Struthio camelus: one gene and its partners. The protein of the gene in region 1 interacts with the protein of each later gene in a pairwise test. Links are inferred from orthologs where the notes say so. Each region holds a gene or a part of one and is shown on either strand. Other genes may lie near its edges.

Region 1 (6,979 bases):
GTTGAGGGGGGCATTCACACTGCCAAACTTAAAGCCTTCACTTTAGCCAGCTGGGTTAAAGTTCAGAGGAGTCTAAATTCCTTCCAGTCAGCTCCTACAGGAATGCCTCTCCTTCTCTACATTGACTAACAAGGTCACCTAGGAAGAGCAACTGGCTAAATCAGCTGCCTGGAACTAGGTTCTTAAGTCGGTATATACCACAGCTTTTAGGCAATTTGAGTTAATCTTTCAGTGGAACAAACCCCAACTTTTATGTAATACTGTAATCAATGTTTCTGTTGTTAAATTTGAAAATAAATTCAGTTCAATGTAAGAAATAATGCAGATGCAAATTTTTAAGTTTTCCAAATATGCATGCTAATGTTCTTCTCCAAGAGACTTTGCCTATTGACAAAACTGTGCCAGAGTCTATCTGCCCCCAAGAAAGTTACACAAGATAGAAATATACACCACAAAATGAAAACAAACATATTGGAAAACTGCATTAAGGTAAAAACACTGCACAAGGAAACACTAAGTCAATTTTGACTTCTACACACGGTAGCATTAAGTACCTATTTCTGTAAAGCCACATTAGCCCACCTACTTTCTGCTGATGTTGTAACACAGGACAGACAACTACAATTCAGATGTTTTCCCAATCCCTTTCTGTTAATGATTCAGCTTTATGGTGACGGGTGGGGAGGGAGGAAATCACATTGAAACTTCCCCTCTATGCTCCTTTTTAAAAAAAAAAAAATTACTGCAATGTGCTACATGAATGGTTTGAAGCACTTCCAGCAACATACTGGATTTGCCTATGTTGGGATGACTGGCAGTAGTTTAAAAGATATTTCCATCTGGGCTAGATTGCAACACCCATCCGCATGCTGAGCATACCTTATTCAACAATTAGTTTCCCTGACTCTAACTCAACATGAATAAGAGCAATGGAATCCATCCTCAGTATTAAAATATAGCTCATTAAGTATGAATGGAGCAAAAATACTCATTGAATAATAAACTAGTGTCATAAAAACCCTTCAAGTATTACTACTGTTTCTACAACAATCTTCTACTTTGACAGTTCTTAACCTTCTGAAATATAGGTATAGCTTCTTCCACAGTTTCCAGCACTTAGACCCTCTCTCTTTACCTTAACAGAAGTCCAATGTTTAAACTTTACAGTGCACAACTTACATACGTGGCAATATTTCAGGGAGAAAGAAGCAGCAAGTTTCTCAGAGATCCACTCCTCTGGTCTTCATCTTTGTGGCAAAATGTGTTGGCACGTTCTCAGAATTTTAAGTCCTTTGTTTCTCACTTTTCCAAAACACCTTCTGGGCCCTCTGCCTACAGAAAGAATTCTGTTAATTTCAGGTAGAGAAACTCCCAATCAGTTATTTTCCCAATCTTCATCCTCTGAAAAAGAGAATTAAATCAATTACTATAGATAACCGAAGTTCTTTTTGTGCATATGCTGCTTCTGCTGAGGGTGTGCACATGCTCACGCATGTGACCTCAGGGACTTTGTTAACAATACCTGTACATCGTGTATAGGATGAGTGTCCATGTATGCTCCTCAGCATAAGCAGTACAATCTGCTTCCCCCGTCTCAGCTTCCTTTCCACTACACCCTGAAAAAAAAAGGAGATGAAGGACGAAACGTGCAACAGGTATATAGCACCATTTAAAGTAACCATAAGAATCTGCTTCCTCTGCTGAATGCGTGCTCATATGCACACCCCTGCAGGTGTAATTCCACAGCAATGCCCAATCCATCCAGATCCAGGATCTGGGAGGCTTAGAAGAGCCATAGAAACACCAGTACTGAAATAGAGCATCCAAATCAAAAGCTTTGGAGAGACCTAATCTCTACTGAAATGATGAGTAACAGCCACAGTGGCTTCCAGACAGACACTTAACAGTAGCATGTTTCTAAATTCCGCCATAAGCACGATCTAAGGCTGCACAAATGGGGCCCTTGCTGTTGCCTAGTCTCAAAATGAGGAATTCATTAAAATACCTAGGGGAAGACCATGCTGTCCTTCATCCTCTCCACTATGGCCACCCTAAGTTGAGAAGAACACCTGTGGGTTTTGTTCTTTGCAAAGACTCTCAGACTCACAATACAATGCAGCCTCTTTCTGGACCAATCCATCTTTGGGAAGAATACTGGAAAGTGAATGTTGGTTTTGGTAGCGACCGTGGGGGATGAGTCTTCAAAGGCACCTTCAGTAGAAGAACACTCCATGCAAACTATACCATCTGGTCATGGCTCTCTCTCCTGACTTTTTCACCTAGGTGACAAACCGAGATATGCTTTTACTAACCCATGTCTTGGGACACATGCATGCTGCCACAGGTTGAAAGAAGAGACTCCCTAGAGCGTGCAAGCGCTAGACTGCATTGCATTGGCAGTTACTTGAAGTCTTTGTGTATCACTTGTCCAAGTCCCAGCCTTTGTTACTGCTTTGCCCAAGGTAACCATTATTTGCACAAGTCCCAGAATGCCTTTTTCTGGGGTCAAGTATAATCTAGAAACACACTTAAAGTGGCAGAATATCCTACAATGCTGTGTAAACATCACGTAGAATTACCTTTTCCACAAATGAAACAAGTAAGCTACAGAGAGATGAAGTGTCTTGAGCCAAGTAACGTGGCCAGCGCCAAAACCAAGCCTTGATACCCAATGTACGCGTTTAGCTGTTATAGCATATAACTATTTCTCACTTATACTTAATATGCATTACTGTATTATTTTCAATACAAATTGTTTTTACGGTGTTTTAGCTGTTCAGGAGAGATTTTTCAGAACAGCAAAAGCTGTTCATTCCTTCTGGATCAAAGAAACCTCTGTAACAACAGCGGAGGGTTTCCACAAGGTTGCTACTCTGCCTCTCAGAGCAGCTGGCAGATACACTTCTCAGTGTGTTAGGGTGGTCAATAGCTGATCTCATTGGGACGTATCACTTTTCAGCATTGGATACGGTGAAACAACAAAGTTGTACAGAGTCCAAAATATCTACTTTTTCCTTTAAATAAAAATTTGATCTTTGGGGAGTAACGATAGGACGTGACTAACAGTTATCTCTGCCTGTACGTGAAGACGTGTAAGCAAGTAGACCACGGGGACTGCAGACTGGGAAACCAAATCACGTAACTAGCAATGAACACACCGTTACAATGACCCGTCTGAAAAGTCACAGGCGCAGGAACTGAGGACTAGGTCACCAGTTGATATTTTACCTTTACAGACCCTTCTAAGCTGCCCTTTAGCCCATTGAGGCCAGAGCTTTGCCTTCGATTTTAAATAAGTCAGATTTTCAGCAGCCTCTGTAAGGGCAGAGTGGAGATTAATCTTAGCCCATGGCAGATAAAAACACCCGTAACTATTTTAATCATTAAGTTAATGAAATCACGCAGCTGAATTGCTGGAGTGCTTCCACACCACAAAAAGAGCTCAATTTCTCGGCTCGAGCGATATTCCCAAAACAGCGCAAACACTCTAGCAAGACCTGAGAGACGTTACCCCCCCCCCACCCCCCCAAAACACGTCCCGTGTCTCTAGGGCCGCGGCTCTGCCATCGCCGAGTTACCTGAAAACAACGCACCCTTACCGCGCAAGCAACCCGGGCCGTCACCACCTCAGCCAGCCTCCGTCTCTTCCCGGGCCGCGGAGCAAACGCGACGGTCTAAGTCCGTTAACGCCCGGGGAAAGCGGGCCTCGACGGGCCTCGCCGACGGGCGCACCGACCGCGGGGCCCAGCGCCCCCCGGCGGCCGCCGCCCGCTCTCGCCGCGCCTGCCTGCACCGAGGGGCGGGCGGCGGGGCGTTAAAACCACACGCGTTTGACACCGCCCGGCCCCCGGGATGGGGGGGGGGGGGGAGCCGCGGCCCCCTCCCCGCCCCGCCCCGTCCCGCCGCGCCGCGCCGCCCGGGGGGCTCCGGCATAAATACGGCCCCGAGCGGCGCTGCCGGACCGGCGCGGCGCGGCGGCGGAGGGGCGGGCGGCGGCAGCGCTGGTGGCCTCGCCTGGCAGAGGGGAGCCGCGGGGCTCCGCTCCGCGCCGCGCGCGCCGCCACCGGCCGTCAACGGCCGTCAACGGCCCGAGCGCGCTTTCCCGCCCTCGGCCCCGGGCGGCGCCGCCGCCGCCCCCATGGACTTACTGGGCCCCATGGAGATGACGGAGGGCTCCCTCTGCTCCTTCTCGGCCGCCGACGACTTCTACGACGACCCCTGCTTCAACACGTCGGACATGCACTTCTTCGAGGACCTGGACCCGCGGCTGGTGCACGTCGGGGGCCTGCTGAAGCCCGAGGAGCACCCGCACCACCACGGGCACCACCACGGGCACCCGCACGAGGAGGAGCACGTGCGGGCGCCCAGCGGGCACCACCAGGCCGGCCGCTGCCTGCTCTGGGCCTGCAAGGCCTGCAAGAGGAAGACCACCAACGCCGACCGCCGCAAGGCGGCCACCATGAGGGAGCGGCGGCGCCTCAGCAAGGTCAACGAGGCCTTCGAGACCCTCAAGCGCTGCACCTCCACCAACCCCAACCAGCGCCTGCCCAAGGTGGAGATCCTCCGCAACGCCATCCGCTACATCGAGAGCCTGCAGGCGCTGCTGCGCGAGCAGGAGGACGCCTACTACCCGGTGCTGGAGCACTACAGCGGCGAGTCGGACGCCTCCAGCCCCCGCTCCAACTGCTCCGATGGCATGGTGAGTGCCCCCGCCGGCGGACAAAGTCCCCTTCTGCGCCTCCACCTCCGGCGGCCAAGGGCGGTGGGGTCCCCCCACGCCAGCGCCCCTGGAAGAGAAGGGAGAAGTCTCTCAGGCGCTCCTTCCTGGGGATGAGAAGTTGGGCAGGTTTCCCTGGGTCCCGGGGAAAGCTGCTGGGGGACCGCTCTGGGAAGGGCGCCGGGAGCGCCGAGAGGTGCGAGTCCTGCCCGCGCTCCCGGGGCATCTCCGTTTCCATCTCCTGTACCCTTAGCCCTGCGTCCCCTAGGGACAGCTGTGAGGGAGGTCCCCCCTGCCATGATAACTGCAGGGGAAAACTCACAGGGGAACTGCTAAGTCTGGGTTTTCTTTTCTGACATTAGTCCTGATAAGAGGAGCACGGTCTGAGCAACAGGAGTTGCTTTTCTTGACCGTTATGAAAAAGGTTCTCCCCCCTCAAGACATTTACCAGCAACAGGAAGGAGACCCCAGGCTTTCACCTCTGTTTGTGCATTATGGGGAGAGGGGAGAAGAAGAGCGAGTGCCAGAGAGGGTGTCTCGTCACCTAATTTCTTTCTTGGGACTATAGTTTTAGACTCCGTGGCCTGACTCGAGGATGGTGGGATGTGGTGACTGGAGTACAGGATAGCTGAGATGAGAACCACAAGAGCACTTTTAAGACTTCCTGAGTTGGCTATGTTCTCTGGTGGGGATAATTATTACTGAGCTGAATATCTGGGATTGTGAGATAGCTGGCAGATCGGGGAGAAAATTTACACAACTGATCCCTCCTCAAAATACAGCCTTTTTTCTCCTCTCGGTAAGAGCCATGTAACTGTGGGTGGAAGTACCAGAAACAAAAATACTGGTCAGAATGCTTGCTTTTTTTTCTCTATACAAAGTAATAGTGGGGAGAGAAACCAAAGGAAATAAAAAGGCACAAAGGTGGACTAGTGGGTTTTTTAAAGGAATTCATGCTTGGAAAAGTCTTCAGAAATTAAACTGAAAAAAGACTTTTCCCCCCTTGGTCTCCCTGCTGCAATTCGAAGGGCAACCTCTGATTAGAACGCTGGAAGACTTCACTTCATTTGAAAAGCTACAGCATTAGTACATTAGTTACAACAATGGTAATTTTCCTTTAAAATAACTATGCCACATAATACATTCTGGGGGGAATTTCTTCCTAGCAAAGTTAAGCTCTGCCTCATTCAAAAAAACTAAAACTTGGTGGTGTTTCAGCCAGGACTAGAGAGCTATGGCACAGACTAGGGTCTGAAGTGTGAAGTTAAATAGTTACTGGGGAGGAAATATTTGAGGAAAATGCTGTCCCCCCACTGGTGATCTCACGCAGATTTCTCTCCTTTCCAGATGGAATACAGTGGGCCTCCTTGCAACTCCCGCAGAAGAAACAGCTACGACAACAGCTACTACACGGAATCACCAAATGGTGAGTATTTGCAGTAACGGCAACGTGAAACATAGGGGTAGAGACGGTCAGCGCAGCAGACTTGCCTGTGCCTTCTCTGTCCCCGGTTGTTTAGCAGACTCCGGCTGGGCTTTTCAGCCAGCGAGCTGTCGATGCTAGTACATGTATAGCATTTCCCTCTAGATGCCTTTGCAAATATGGGAATATAGTATAGTGGCATTTCCTACTTTGCAAACATAGTGTCTGGATAAAAACATATTGGAATATATTCCAACAGTTTTCAGAGTTTAACTACATTTTGCATAAGGATTGTTCCAACCGGATATCACTGATCCAAACCATGGAGAAATTGCCAATTGAATTCAAATCTTCCATTCCCTTTCTATGGACTGAAGTGAAGCCCTGCACCCATCCTCTTGAAAAGTATCATACCTCAGTTGGGCCTTTTTTCCCATTCTGCAAATTATAGTCTCTGTTTTCTGATAACTGGCATCTTTCACCAATATTCCTTTCCTCAATCTTAATATGCTCACAGATATGCCCTGTCAGCCACTGGTTGGGGTTCTCTGAAAAAACTACAGCCTACTGACATTAAATACCCATTGACTAAATTGATCACCTCTTCTGTCTGTCTTTAGATCCAAAGCATGGGAAGAGTTCTGTTGTTTCTAGCCTTGATTGCCTCTCAAGCATTGTGGAGAGGATTTCCACAGATAACTCCACATGTCCAGTCCTGCCCGCAGTGGAAAGCGTTGCTGAAGGGAGTCCCTGTTCCCCCTCCGAAGGAGCCAACCTGAATGAGAGTGGAGTCCAAATTCCTTCCCCCACCAACTGCACCCCGCTTCCCCAGGATAACA
Region 2 (6,061 bases), on another chromosome or scaffold:
GCCCTGCTCCAGCTGCGCGGCAGGAGCCGCCGGCCCCGCTCGCATCTGCGGCACCGCTCGCCCGCCGGCCCTGCGGCGCCCGGGGCCGAGGCCGGGGCTTCCCCGGCGCCCCGCTGCGCCCGGCCGGGCCGAGGGCGGCAGGACGAGCCCGAGCCTGGGCCAGAGCCGGGGCAGGGGCCGCGCCGGGCGGCCGGGGCGCGCTGCCCTCCCCGAGCGCCCGGCCTTTGCTGCGGGCGGCTGCCGGGCAACCTCTGCGCCGCGCAAAGCAGCCGCGACGTGCCGGGCCGGGCCGGGCCGGCGGCTCAGCCGCGTGCCAGCGCCATATGGCCGAGCCGGTGTTACCGCGCCGCCCGCCCCGTTCCCAGAATTGACATGGAAATGAAGCTATCCGTCTTGCTGGCCGACGCGGCCGGCCCGGCCGCCTTTCCCGCGGCCAGCGCGCCCGCCCCGGCCTCGCCACCACCTCTCGGATTTTCCCTGCGGCCGGCACGGCGCAGAGGAAGGGCCCTCGGCCGCCGCCGCCCCGGAGCAGCCGGCCCCGGGAGCGGGACGGGGGCCGGAGCAGCCGCCGTGGCCCCTGCGGCTCGGTGCTCCCTGCGCGCGGGCCCGGCCGGAGCGGCGCGCCGGGGCGGCCGCCAGCCCGGGGGCCGGGCTTGACCTTTCGGCCTCGGGGCCCCGAGCTTTGACATCTGGCTAATTCGCGCCGAGCGGCCGGCGGGGGATCTGAGGCGGCCGGAGGCGGCGAGCGGGGCCGGCGGCGGCGGCGCATTGTTGGCGGCGCAGCTGCGGGCGGCGGCGCTGAAAGGCATTCCTGCACACAATGTCCCGCGCGCCTCCGTGCGCGGGGGCCGCCGCCGCCAGATGGGGGCTAATTAGCGGCTTTGATTGCCTCTGTGGGAACCGGCCAGGCACCAGGCTCTCCGCGGGGCCCTGAATGGAGGGGGCGACCCCAGGGCTGTGCCCACCCTGGGAACCGCCACCGCCGGCGCCACCGCGGGCGGGGGGGCGCGGGGACAGAGGGAGGGCGAGGTGAAGGGATGCAGGGACAGATGGGTGCAGGGACAGAGGGATGCAGGGACAGAGGGATGCAGGGAGGGGGGCATAGAGGGCGAGAGAGGTGAAGGGATGCAGGGAGAGAGGGATGCAGGGATGCAGGGACAAGGATGCAAGGACAAAGGGATAGAGGGATGGACGGAGGGGGCATGGAGGGCAGGACAGATGCAGGGATGGAGGGACAGAGGGATGGAGGGATGTGGTCCCCCCAGATGGCCCGGCACAGGCTGAGCCAGAGACCGCAGGGTTTATGCAACCCAGAGGTTATGCACCCCGCGCTGGGGCCCTGCGTGCCCCGTGCCGGAGCGTTGCGCGCCCCGCGCCCTTGCAGCTTGCTCCCGCGCCGCTGCCGCTGCAGTGCCCTGCTGCGGCCGCGGCGAGCCCGGGTGACGAGGGCCCCGGGTGGCGAGCCGCGGGGCAGGGGCGCGCAGGCTGGCACCGCGCTGTCCGGGCGCCCCAGCCCCGCGCCGGCTTTGTTCGCCGCAGAGGCCGTCGCTGCTTCCTGCTGCCGCTAACAAAGCTGCGGCGCAGCCGGCCCCGCGGCCCCACGCGGGCAGGGGCAGGGGAGCTGCTCCCGCTCGCCCGGCACACGCGGGCACGCCACGGGGGGGGGGGGGGGGGAGTGTGTGTGCACGTGTGTGTGTGCGCACCGCTGGATTTGTGCATGTGCGTGAATGTGTGTGCGCGTGCACACGTTTGTGCGTGGCCGTGCACCAGGGCGCCTGGGCGCGCAGGCGTGTGCGCGTGCCTCGGCGTGTGCATCCGGGCGCGTGTACAGGGCACAAGGGCTGCCACTTTGCCTGGAGATTTTTCAGTTGCTTTCGCGCTGTTTCATGCCGTTTGGGGGTGGAGAGGGGCCGGGGGGGGCCTCTGCAGCACGGCTGGGGGGAAGACTGGGGCGGCTGCGCCAGGCGGCCCCGGCTGCCCGCTCGGCGCGCCGACAGCCCTGCGAGCAGCCACGGTGCGCGAGCGGCGTGGAGCCGGCCGGGCGGCAGGCGGGGGCCGGGACCCCGCGGGGGCTGCTGCGCGATGCGCGGCTGGCGAGGCTGCGGTCCAGGGCGCCGCTGCCTCCTGCCCCGGCCCCGTCATTCCTGTCTAGCCGAGACCCTGGATGAACCTCCCTACAGGTGCGAAGATAAGGTAACGATCATTAATGCTAATTAATGCTTGGATCGGAAGCCCTTTAGGGCAGGGACTGGTTTTCTGTTCCGTCTTACGCTGTGCCTTGCACGAGAGGCTGCAGCTGCGCAGATGCTACCTCCTCGCCCGGCCTGGCCTCCTGCCGGCCCCGCACCGCCCGTGCCGCGCGCCGCCGTCGGCCTGCCCCGCACGAGTCGCCTTTGCCGGGGGCTCAGCCCCGGGCACAGCCGCCGCGGCCCCGCGGCTCAGCAGGCGGCACGCGGCGGGGCCTGGGCACCAGCGCCCCACGGGGCCACCCGCCTGGGGCGGCAGAGCTGCGCCCAAGCGCTGGCGGGGCCCCAGCTGCCAGGTGACTCCCACGCTCTGGGGCAAGGAGGCACCCTGCGCCGGGAGGGCAGCGCTGCCCTGCACCTGCAGCCTGCACCGAGCGAGCGTGGCACAGCCCTGGCATGGCACGGCACGGCTGTGGGCACAGCATAGCCCCAGGCGCAGCACAGCCCCAGGGATGGCCATAGGCATGGCTCGGCTGTGGCATGGCACAGCACAGCCATGGGTACGGCACAGCCCCGGGCATGGCACAGCCCTGGGCACGGCCATGGGCACAGCACGGCCATGGGTAGGACACAGCTCCGGGCACGGCACGGCCCTGGGCACGGCCATGGGCACAGTACAGCCATGGGCACGGCACAGCCCCGGGCACGGCACAGCCCTGGGCACGGCCATGGGCACAGCACGGCCATGGGTACGGCACAGCCCCGGGCATGGCACAGCTCTGGGCACAGCCACGGGCACAGCACGGCCATGGGCACGACACAGCCCCGGGCACGGCACAGCCCTGGGCACGGCCATGGGCACAGCACGGCCATGGGTACCGCACAGCTCCGGGCACGGCACGGCCCTGGGCACGGTATGGCGCAGCCATGGCACGGTGCCGCACGGCCCCGGGCACGGCACGGCCACGCAGGACGGCGTAGCGGACCTCCCGCCCCAGCTCCGCGTTTGCAGCCGCTGCACAAAGATGGGTCGGGGGAGCGGGGGCGCCCCCCGGCACCCAGCCGGGCCCGGCACGGCCCCGCGGCGGCTCCCGCTGAACCCGGGGCCGGGAGCGCTGCGGGGGGGCCCGAGCCCCGCCGCCCGCCGCGCCCCGCCCCCGTCGCCATGGGCACCGCCCGCGAGGCGCCGCGCTGACAGCGCGCGGGGTTTTATGAATGGGTGACGTCACGGCCCTGGCGTCTAACGGTCTGAGCCGCCGGGGAGGCGGGGGGGCCGCAAGGGGCGAGCTGGGCTGCGGGGGGCCCGGGAGGGGTGCGGGGGCTGGGGAGTGCAGGGGACCCTGGGGCTGGGGAGAGATATGGGGTACAGGGGCCGGAGTGCAGGGGGCGGGGAATGCAGGGACCTGGGGGCTGCAGTGCATCCGGGGTGCAGGGCCAGGGGTGCAGGGGCTCTCCCGGGGCTGGGGAGAGCCATGGGGTGCAGGGGCCAGAGTGCAGGGGGTGGGGAATGCAGGGACCTGGGGGATGCAGTGGGTCGGGGATGCAGGAGTTGGGGGGTGCAGGGGACCTCGGTGCTGGGGAGAGCCATGGGCTGCAGGGACTGAGTGCAGGGGGCCGTGGGTGCAGGGAGCTGGGGCTGCAGGGGGCCTGGGGGATGTTGGCCCTGGTGGGTGCAGGGCCCCGGGGGCTGGGGAGAGCCATGGGCTGCAGGGGCCGGGGGGGTAGGGATTGGGGAATACAGGGACCTGGGGGATGCAGTGGGTCGGGGGTGCAGGGGACCTCGGTGCTGGGGAGAGCCATGGGCTGCAGAGGGCCCGGGGGCTGCAGCGGGCCTGGGGGGCTGAAGGAGGGCGAGCTGGGCTCTGGGCCCGGGGTGGTGCAGGGGTCCGCGGGCTGGAGGGGCCCAGCTGGAGAGGAGCCCAGGGGGGTCTCAGGGTCCCGGGGGCGGCCGTAGTAGGCTGTAGCCGGGCGTTTGGAGGCACCTCTGCCGCAGCAGCTCTGCTACCAGGGCCGAGCTCCAGGAACGCAGAGTAACTCAGCCCCATGAACGGGGGGCCAGGGCCCGGGGCCCGTGGCGGGGAAAGGTGTCCGCGCAGGCGGTGCGCCCCAGTGCTCCGTGCCCCGGTGGCCCCCGGTGACCCCCGGGCAGCGGCCCGACCTTCCCCCCCCCGCCCCCCCGCCAAGCCTCTACCCGCTCCTCCCCGGGGCAGCGCCACTGTCTCTTTAACACAGTCCCCTTCAGGGCTCATGAATGGGGGGGGGGGCGGGGCAGGCCCCGCCCTGCGGCGCTCCTATTGGCCACAGCCCGGCCCCGCGGCCCCGCCCCCGGCCGCAGCGCTCTATAAGTGGCGCGGCGCGGGGCGGCGGGAGTGCAGCGCTTCGCTCCGCGCCCGCAGGGTCCTGCTGCCGCCGGTCGCTGCCCGCCGCTCCATGAAGGTCGCCAGCGCCGCCCCCTCGCCGCTGCCCGCGGGCGCCGGCGGCGCGCTGAAGGCGGTGCGGCCCGGGGAGGCCGCGCGGTGCGGGCCGGGCCCGGGGGCGGCGACCGCCGCGGCCCCGGGGGCGGCGGAGCAAGCGGCGGCCGCCGCCGCGCTGCTCTACGACATGAAGGGCTGCTACTCGCGGCTGCGGGCGCTGGTGCCCACGCTGCCGCGGCACCGGCGCGTCTCCAAGGTGGAGATCCTGCAGCACGTTATCGACTACATCTGGGACCTGCAGCTGGCGCTGCAGCGGGGGCCGCCCTGCGCCGCCGCCCCCGGCGGGGACCCCCCCGAGGTGAGTGCGGCCCCGGCTCCGCTCCCCTTCCCGGTCGCTTTCACACCCCTCTCGCTCCGGGTGAACCCGCCGGGCCCCCCAGCGCCGCCGCCGTCCTCCCCGGCGGGTTGCACCTCCCTGTGGGCGCCCCTTCCACCTGCGGCAGCTCAGCAGCCCCCAGCCGGGGCCGCTCTCCCCTGCCGCCCTGCTCCCCCGGGGCTCCCGAAGCCAGCACTGACCGGCCCCCTGTCGCCCTTCCCGCAGGCTCCGTGCATGCCCGCTGCGGACCGGATCCTGTGCCGCTGAGACCTGCTCCGGACCTGCCAGGACCCGGCCCGGGCCCGGAGGGGGTGGCAGCCCGCGCCCCCCGCCGTGGGACTGTGCCGAGGGCGGCCCCGCGGCACGTATCCTTCTCAGATTGCTGAGAGCATTCCCTGTATTGTATATTACAATGATGCTGGAGAATATTGTTCTACAATAGTTGGAGTTTTGTTATTAAACAAGCCCTGGTTACGAGGCACGCTTCTCTCTTCTGGCCCTGTCCGCCCACGGAGCGCGAAGGCGGTGGGAGCCCTTCGTGGGCAGGGTGCCCCGTGGGGTGTGGGAGCCCTGGGGTCTGGGAAGCAGCCCAGCTCTGCTGATCCCCTGCCTGGATACTGCCCTGTACCCCCACCCCACCCCGTTCCCCTGTGTCTGTGCCCCTTGGGGCTGCAGATGGGGGGATGCTGCTGGGGTTTCTCCCCTTGGCCCTGTGGGCAGGCACACCCTGCATGTTGGTGGGAGGGGGCCAGGTCTGGGGCTTTGCCCCCCCACCTGGGTGCCTCTGGGGCTGGCCCTGCACCCTGGGCGTCCCTGTGCCCTCCCTGATGAGCCCTGTGGTGCTGGTGCAGCCAGGTGCCAGCCCAGACTGGCTTCCCCAGGGCTGGTGCTGCCCCATGGCGTGTGCCGAGCAGCATGGGCCTGGCCTTGCACAATTTCCCAGCTGGGCCAGTGCAGTGGTTCAGTGACTCGTGCAAAGTCACTGTGAGTCACTGCCTTTTGGCCCAGCTGGGAGGCTTGTGGCTATGGGGGGGGGGCCCAGCTGTGTGGGGCAGCCCCTCGCATACTCCCTGGTGAGAGTGCCC
Region 3 (6,639 bases), on another chromosome or scaffold:
ACGCATCACCAACTCTTGTAGTCAAAGCCTTTTTTACAGAAATTTAATAGTTGGGGAACTAATAACCACCCACAACCCTTTAATTCTGAGTGATTAATCTAAACACATATTAACAGATCTGGGGCATTGCTACTGAGAACTGAAAGTGAATCATCCGTTGGGGTTAAAAAAAAAAAAAAAAAAAGTCACACTCTGGGGGAATGTCTATGGATTAACTGCTTTTGTGTGTGTTTCCCAACACTTTGTCAATAGCATCCCCTCTGTAATAAATTACTTCACTAGTTCCTTTCACACTGTTTATCAGCAAATCATCCAGCAGTTTGAAATATACACTCAAATAAGATTTTCCAGGTTACAAGAATTATTATTCACTATAGGTAATTTTATTCTTTATGTTCTCTACATACTTGAACTTTTACTCAGTAAAATCATAACAGAATGTATAAGTATTTAAAAAACAAATCAAAGCCACAAACCGCTGGTCCCCAAAGAATAAAAGCAAGCAATCAGTTCAATAAACACACTTGATTTATTTTGTATAAAAAGGGTTAAGTTTACAACTAAACTTTTATAAAAAGTTTAGCATGATTAAGTACATCATTACACTTTTTGCAGAAATTTACATTTCTGCCACTATACAAGAAAACTCTAATTAAAGAGTTCACAAGGTTTCACTCATATATATATATTTATATATAAATATATACACAGCATTCAGTCCTAGGTTTGTGTCAAAAAAGGTAATTTCTGACCGTAGACTTTCCTAAAAAACTGAACACTGGATCCTTCTGGTACTCACGCTCCACCTTTGGAAAAAAAAGGCAAAGTCTGCTTAAAAGGGGCAACTCCTCGTGAGATTTTGTTTCGCTCCCCACGTTGGGAATAGTATATAAAGGAAGCCTTCCAACTAGGGAAAGGGTATTTAAGAGTCTCTTCATAAATAACTAGGTTCAGTCCAAGTTGAAGAATGGGGTGGGGATAAAGATCAATCTTGATTTTTCTTCTTTATTAATTTTAAAAGGTCCTTTTACAGTTAGATGTGGATTCCCCCTCCAGATACAGCTGAAAAATAAATTCAGCACCTCAAAAAAAAAAAAAATCCTGTAGACATCTTCTTGTGCAAAAAAAAAAAAAAAAATCTCATCAGTGGAACACCTGCAAAAGATTGAAAAGAGGCGTATTTAGGAGAATGCTAACAGGGCAGAGATCCGGACAGACTGGCGCCAGAGAGGAAGCCACAGTTTGAACATTTAACCAAACACTCAAAGATTGGGCAAACCCTGGCGTCCAGATGCAACACATACACGCTCACACACTCACTCTCAAGAGCTCAAATTGAACATTAAAATAACATACACTCAAGGGAAAGGACAGAAAGAGGATTCTCAGTCCAATCTCTATTTAGATCTCTGTAAATGCACTGCTCAGAGGCGCCAGTCTGCCTCTTACAGCAATTATTTGATAAAAAGCAGTCATTTATTTAACTGATAGTGTAGACAATCCCACATGACAAAATTTAAGAAATTGTGCCAAGATTCCCAACTTAATCAGTCACTCTGGCCTGGGAAGTTAAGACTTCGGGAACAGATAACCAGAGAATTGGCATTAAGCGGTGAGTAGTATCAGAGCACTCAGTCCGGGCTGCTTAATTATTCTTAGAGACCAAAATATACTTTGGACTATCAGGCTCGATTATTAGTCTAAATTTTATGGTTGGATTGCTGGTTATAAAAGGCATCTCCTAATCAGCTTTTAGGATAGACTTCTTTCAGACAGCAACAGCCTCATAAACAGAATTTTTCCATTCTAAATGGAAGCACTTTCATCTGAAGGTTAAAAATAAGATTCCCTTTACTCACCGTTTGATTTAGCCACAAAGTGCTTTGCTGTCATTTGACATTAGTTCTGAGGGGAATTCAGATGCCTGCAAGCAGAAAATACAACAAAACAGAGCAGCGTTAAATGCCTTAGCAGTCGAAAAAGCAGAAAAAGTACTCTGGGTCGTGAAGTTCTTCGCTCATGACATGTTTTGAGAGAAACTCACAACGATGGCTAGCAGAGGTAGTGGCAGTTTTGTTGGAGTTTCCGTACGTTTTAATGTAGTGCTGTTTCTTCAGTAACCATTGCTCGGGGTGGCCGCGTTCTGCGCTCAAGACAGTTCGAACACTGACTTAAAATACCGTATCTAGGTCAATGGACAGAGAGGGGGTAGCTGCAGGGAGGCCACTTACCTGTAACGACAGGATGCTGATGTCTGTGTTTAAGGTGGTCAGAGGAGTTCTGGAAGAAGGATTTTGTCCGGGTCTCTGGTGATGCAGACTGACAATACTGGGATGTGAATCTAAGGCGATCTGCAGGTCCAGAATGTAGTCGATAACGTGCTGCAGGATTTCCATCTTGCTCACTTTCTTGTTCTGAGGGATGCTGGGCACTAGCTCTTTCAGTTTGGAGTAGCAGTCATTCATGTTGTACAGCAGACTCATAGGATCATCCACGGGGGTTTTGCTCCGGGATATGCCTAGGTTGTGCTCCGAGAGGCTGTTTTTCCTGACAGATCTCACAGGACTGAAAGCTTTCATGCTGAAGGACGGACGGAGAGAGCGGTTCCAGCGCACAGAAACACTGTGGGAGCTCGCTCTCCGCCCGCTCGCCTGCCTGCCTGCCTGCCTGCCTTCCCTCTGCCTCGCAGCTGCCGGAGCGCAGAATGAAGCGCTCGCCTGCCCGTGCCGGCTTTTATACCGCAGGCGCAGGAGCTGCCAAATCCAGCCTGTGCTCGCTGCCATTGGAGGCGACCGGCATGTCCATCAGGCCCCGAGACGCTCTCACTGGTACAAATGGGAGCGGAGCGGCTGCTCGGGCCTTCCGCGTTGAGAGCCAATGTGGGGAGGGAGGTGTGGCTGCGCCCGGCACAGCTGAGGGTAGTAAATACTGTACAGTAGATGCCGAGCCCGGCCTCGCAGCGAGCGTTTTGCAAAGGCGCTTAGGGGGGGATGAAACGGGCATTTTCACATTGCGGTTGCGGAGCTCGGAGTTCGGTCACAAAATCCCTCAGCCCTCTCCCTCTGTGCTTCTCCCGCTGGTATAAAAGACATCCCCCCCGACTATTCTCCTCTCTGTTTTGCAGAGTTAAAGTAGGAATAAAAAAATGCTGCAAGGGTAAAGGCTGAGAAAGAGAGGCTGGGGTGAGTGTGCGCAGATTATTAAGGGCAGACGCTGAAGGAGAGAGGAATGCGTTGCTGTAAGCAGTCTGTGTGGACAACGTGATACAGCTAGGTGAGAGTTACTGCCACAACAAGGTGTCGGCGAAGGCTGAGACGTCCTGAAAGTCCCTTTGAATTAGAGTACCAAGCAACTCTTCAGAGTGCCTGTTTGAAAATACGGCTGCGTACATCAATGGGCAGGCTCAGTAGCAGAGCGCTGTAGGCTCCAGATGTAGGCAGATCTAAGTGTGAAACGTAAAGACAAATAAACATATACAATCAACGGGAACTTTCTTCTCTGACGACAGGACACTGCTACAAGGCTGGCAGCTCACAGAGCCCTGACAGACTAAGAAGTCACTGTTTGCTTGCCGTTTCCTGAGGACAGGGCTATTTTAAATGATGCTATTAATTGGAGATCATTAGGCAAATGTGCATATTGAAAGTACATTTGCATGTATTACCCTTGAAAGGCTGTTCATCTGCATCCTATCAGTGCGTGTGACATGTTACCGTAATTAATTATGCATAGATTGTTTCTGGTGACAAATGTGAACACTTACTGCACGCTGTACTTTTTGCGGCTTTTGGTTGCAGCCAATGAAACATCTTCCAGAAACATTCCAGAGGAAAAAGTTGGGGGTTTTGTTTAACTGGAGAAATGATTTAGATTTTTTTTCAAGCTTAGGTCAATTGCATTTCTCTGTATTTTGCTCATACCAACTGCTCTGCAACATGCCAATGTCCTCCCCCCCCCCATCTTTTCACATGACTTAAACTTAGAAAAGCGTACATTTCCATACACGATTAATATGCATGGTATTCTACTCAACACACAGCAATTCTGTAATAACCTCCTGAATGCTTAAAGTGCCTTGTTCTTTATTTCAAACAACAGCGTAGACATGACATCTATAAAATCAGTTAAGATTGTACTGCCTATCGTGACTATTAAAAGCAGACAAATACTGGATTTATCTGTGCTGTTGTTGCATAGCTACACTAAACGAATTGGGGCTGTGGGGGAGGAACGTTACGGACCCTCGGAGAAAAAGCTCTATGGAGATCGGTGGATGTTTTTCTCCAATTAATGTTGCATTCCTTAGCTGGTGTTTTGCTGTTCTCTAACAGGACATTTTGGTGGCCGTAACACAAGCTTATTTGCCCCAGGGCTTTTATCGGAGGGTGGACGGTAGGCGGTGCTGAGGCTGACAGGAACACAATTCAGTCATTTTGAGATGTGAAGGGTGAAAGTGAATCTCTACGTTCAATCTGATAGGAAGACAAACACGTTGTTCAAGTGCAGTTAAAGAGCGTAAATAATAATAAAAACCACCCTGTCAATTAGCAACTTGATTAAAATAACCCGCTTTACAGCAGCTTTAATTCTTTTGTACTTTACCTCACTAAAATCTCCATTTAAATCATATCTGCCACTCGCTTTGCTGCCACAGGTTTTAGCCCTTCAGCGTGTTTGTATTTCTGTCTCATGAATGCACCAGTGGAAGAAATTTTATTTTGACACTATTTTTGGCATAATAATAGCCAATGTAAACAAGTATGTTCATGCTTCTTCCATCATTATTTGTCATTCTTGGACAGTGAAACAATGTTACAGTAACGTCCTTCTAGTCTTTGCAAAGGACGTGTTTGCAACTGGTTTCATTTTTCCATGCTAAGGGCTTAACACACTTTTTAGAATAGTGAGGAGTTATATGCAGAGCGGCTAACGTGATCATTTTCTCGGCTGTCAGATGATTGTAACGCGCTCCTTCTGCGTGGAAAGTACAATTTGTGCATGTGTAAACTCCAGGTCTCCTAAAGGCAGATTTTTCTTTTTTCCGTAAAATTTCATTCCCTTCCTTGCGTTCTTTTAACCTTGAAAGGTTTTGCAGTGGGTTGCTCGCTCTGAAAACGACTCTCTTTGCTCTCTAACGCACGTAATGCAAACTGTTCTAGCAGCCCTGCGTTTTGTAAGTGGTGCGGCCCCTGACAAGGAGCTATGCGAGGAGGCTGATGTTTTCTGGAGGGAGTCGCAGAAGCCACCGCACCACGGCTTTGCGCTGCTCTTCAGGGGCAGCTCCAAGCGCGGCCCCAGCGGGCACCGGCACGGCCCTCCGGCGCCAGTCCCCCCAGGACGGACGTCCGCCTCTAGTTTTCAGCCTGGACTTTTATAGCCAATTCCCAACCCCGAAAGGCTGCTGCAAACATCTGGTAGGAAACCATCGCCGCTGGCAGCGCACAAAGCGCCGTTTCTCCTCCTCGCCCTCCCTCCCCCCCCCCCCCCAGCGCCGCGCCGCCGCCAAGCGGCACCAACGCGGGGCGCGGGGGCCCCGCTCCGCCCCGCCCCGCCCCGCCCGGGGGGCAGCGGCCGCCCCCGCCGTGGGGGGCCCCGGCGCCAGGCCGCGGCGGCGGCGGCGGCGGCGGCGGCGGCGGCGCCCCCCCTGCCCTGCCCTGCCCTGCCCTGCCCTGCCCTCCCCTCCGCGGCGCGGCGCTCCGCTCCGCGCCCCGCCCCGCCGCCCCGCGCCCGGGCCGGGCCGGGCCGGACTGCGCGGCGCCAGCCCCGTGACATCAGCCCCTCGCCGCCGCTCCCCCCGCCCGCGCCGCCCGGGCCCGGCGGCGCCGCTCAGGCGGCTGCCATGGCGACCGGGGCTGAGCCCGGGGCGGCGGGAGGCGGCGCGGCCGGGCCCCGCTTCCCCCTCCCGGGCGCACCTGCAGCGGGGGCAGCGGCCGGACACCACCTCCCCCCTCCCCCCTCCCCCCCCGGCCGTGCGAGCTGGGCTCCGCGCCGCCGCCCCGCCGCGCCGTTCCGCAAAAAGAGGGAAAAAATAAAAAGCGCGCCCAGATGGACGCGCCGCTCGGCTCCGGCCCGGGCTTCCCCGCCGCGCCCGGCCCTCGGCGCCGCCCGCGCCCGCGCAGCGCTGCGGGAAGGGCCGCGGCCGCCCCGGGAGCCCCGGCCCGGCCCTCCGCGGGTGGCGGAGGGGGAATGCCCCCCTCCGGCTGCCTCGTTTTCCCTTTGAGAGAAAACGTGCGTTTCTGCAAAAGGGGAAGAAAATACACTTGGGGAAAAAAAAAAAACCTTTTTTTTTTTTTTGCACGGTAGGATTTTCTAGGGAGAGCATCTGGATTGCATAATACTCCAGGTTGTGGCTTTGTGCGCTTGACACGAATCCTGGGAAAATGGGGTTCTCAACCCCAGCACGCCCGAGTCGATTATCCTTCTCCCTCTGAAGGGCCTGCAAGTTCTTGCGTGCATCGTATCCTATGCTTTTAATGAAATTTATTTATCTAAAACATCTAGTAATAATGTCAATGGGTTTAATTGCCATGTATTTAAGCCATCAAACTAGAGTAAAAAAATCTGTTAAAATTGGCCCATTTCCAAACCATTGACACCGTCCAACCTAGGCAAACAGTGTCCAAATATGTTTTAATACAA

Evidence for each region.
Region 2: the proteins of MYOD1 (region 1) and ID1 interact in a two-hybrid assay, tested with the Homo sapiens proteins (5 studies listed by BioGRID). The link is inferred for Struthio camelus from reciprocal best matches to the Homo sapiens genes MYOD1 and ID1.
Region 3: the proteins of MYOD1 (region 1) and ID2 interact in a two-hybrid assay, tested with the Homo sapiens proteins (2 studies listed by BioGRID). The link is inferred for Struthio camelus from reciprocal best matches to the Homo sapiens genes MYOD1 and ID2.

The regions. Positions count from the first base shown.
Region 1 is NC_090946.1:20,186,385-20,193,363, reverse strand, and holds the start of MYOD1 (myoblast determination protein 1), read left to right. Parts: upstream 1-3,965; 5' UTR 3,966-4,138; coding exon 4,139-4,699; intron 4,700-6,064; coding exon 6,065-6,143; intron 6,144-6,760; coding exon 6,761-6,979. UniProt on the Homo sapiens protein: Acts as a transcriptional activator that promotes transcription of muscle-specific target genes and plays a role in muscle differentiation. Together with MYF5 and MYOG, co-occupies muscle-specific gene promoter core region during myogenesis.
Region 2 is NC_090959.1:18,479,638-18,485,698, forward strand, and holds ID1 (DNA-binding protein inhibitor ID-1), read left to right. Parts: upstream 1-4,577; 5' UTR 4,578-4,616; coding exon 4,617-4,958; intron 4,959-5,201; coding exon 5,202-5,243; 3' UTR 5,244-5,455; downstream 5,456-6,061. UniProt on the Homo sapiens protein: Transcriptional regulator (lacking a basic DNA binding domain) which negatively regulates the basic helix-loop-helix (bHLH) transcription factors by forming heterodimers and inhibiting their DNA binding and transcriptional activity.
Region 3 is NC_090944.1:25,477,797-25,484,435, forward strand, and holds ID2 (DNA-binding protein inhibitor ID-2), read right to left. Parts: upstream 2,717-6,639; 5' UTR 2,580-2,716; coding exon 2,232-2,579; intron 1,925-2,231; coding exon 1,868-1,924; 3' UTR 1,860-1,867; intron 1,156-1,859; 3' UTR 511-1,155; downstream 1-510. UniProt on the Homo sapiens protein: Transcriptional regulator (lacking a basic DNA binding domain) which negatively regulates the basic helix-loop-helix (bHLH) transcription factors by forming heterodimers and inhibiting their DNA binding and transcriptional activity.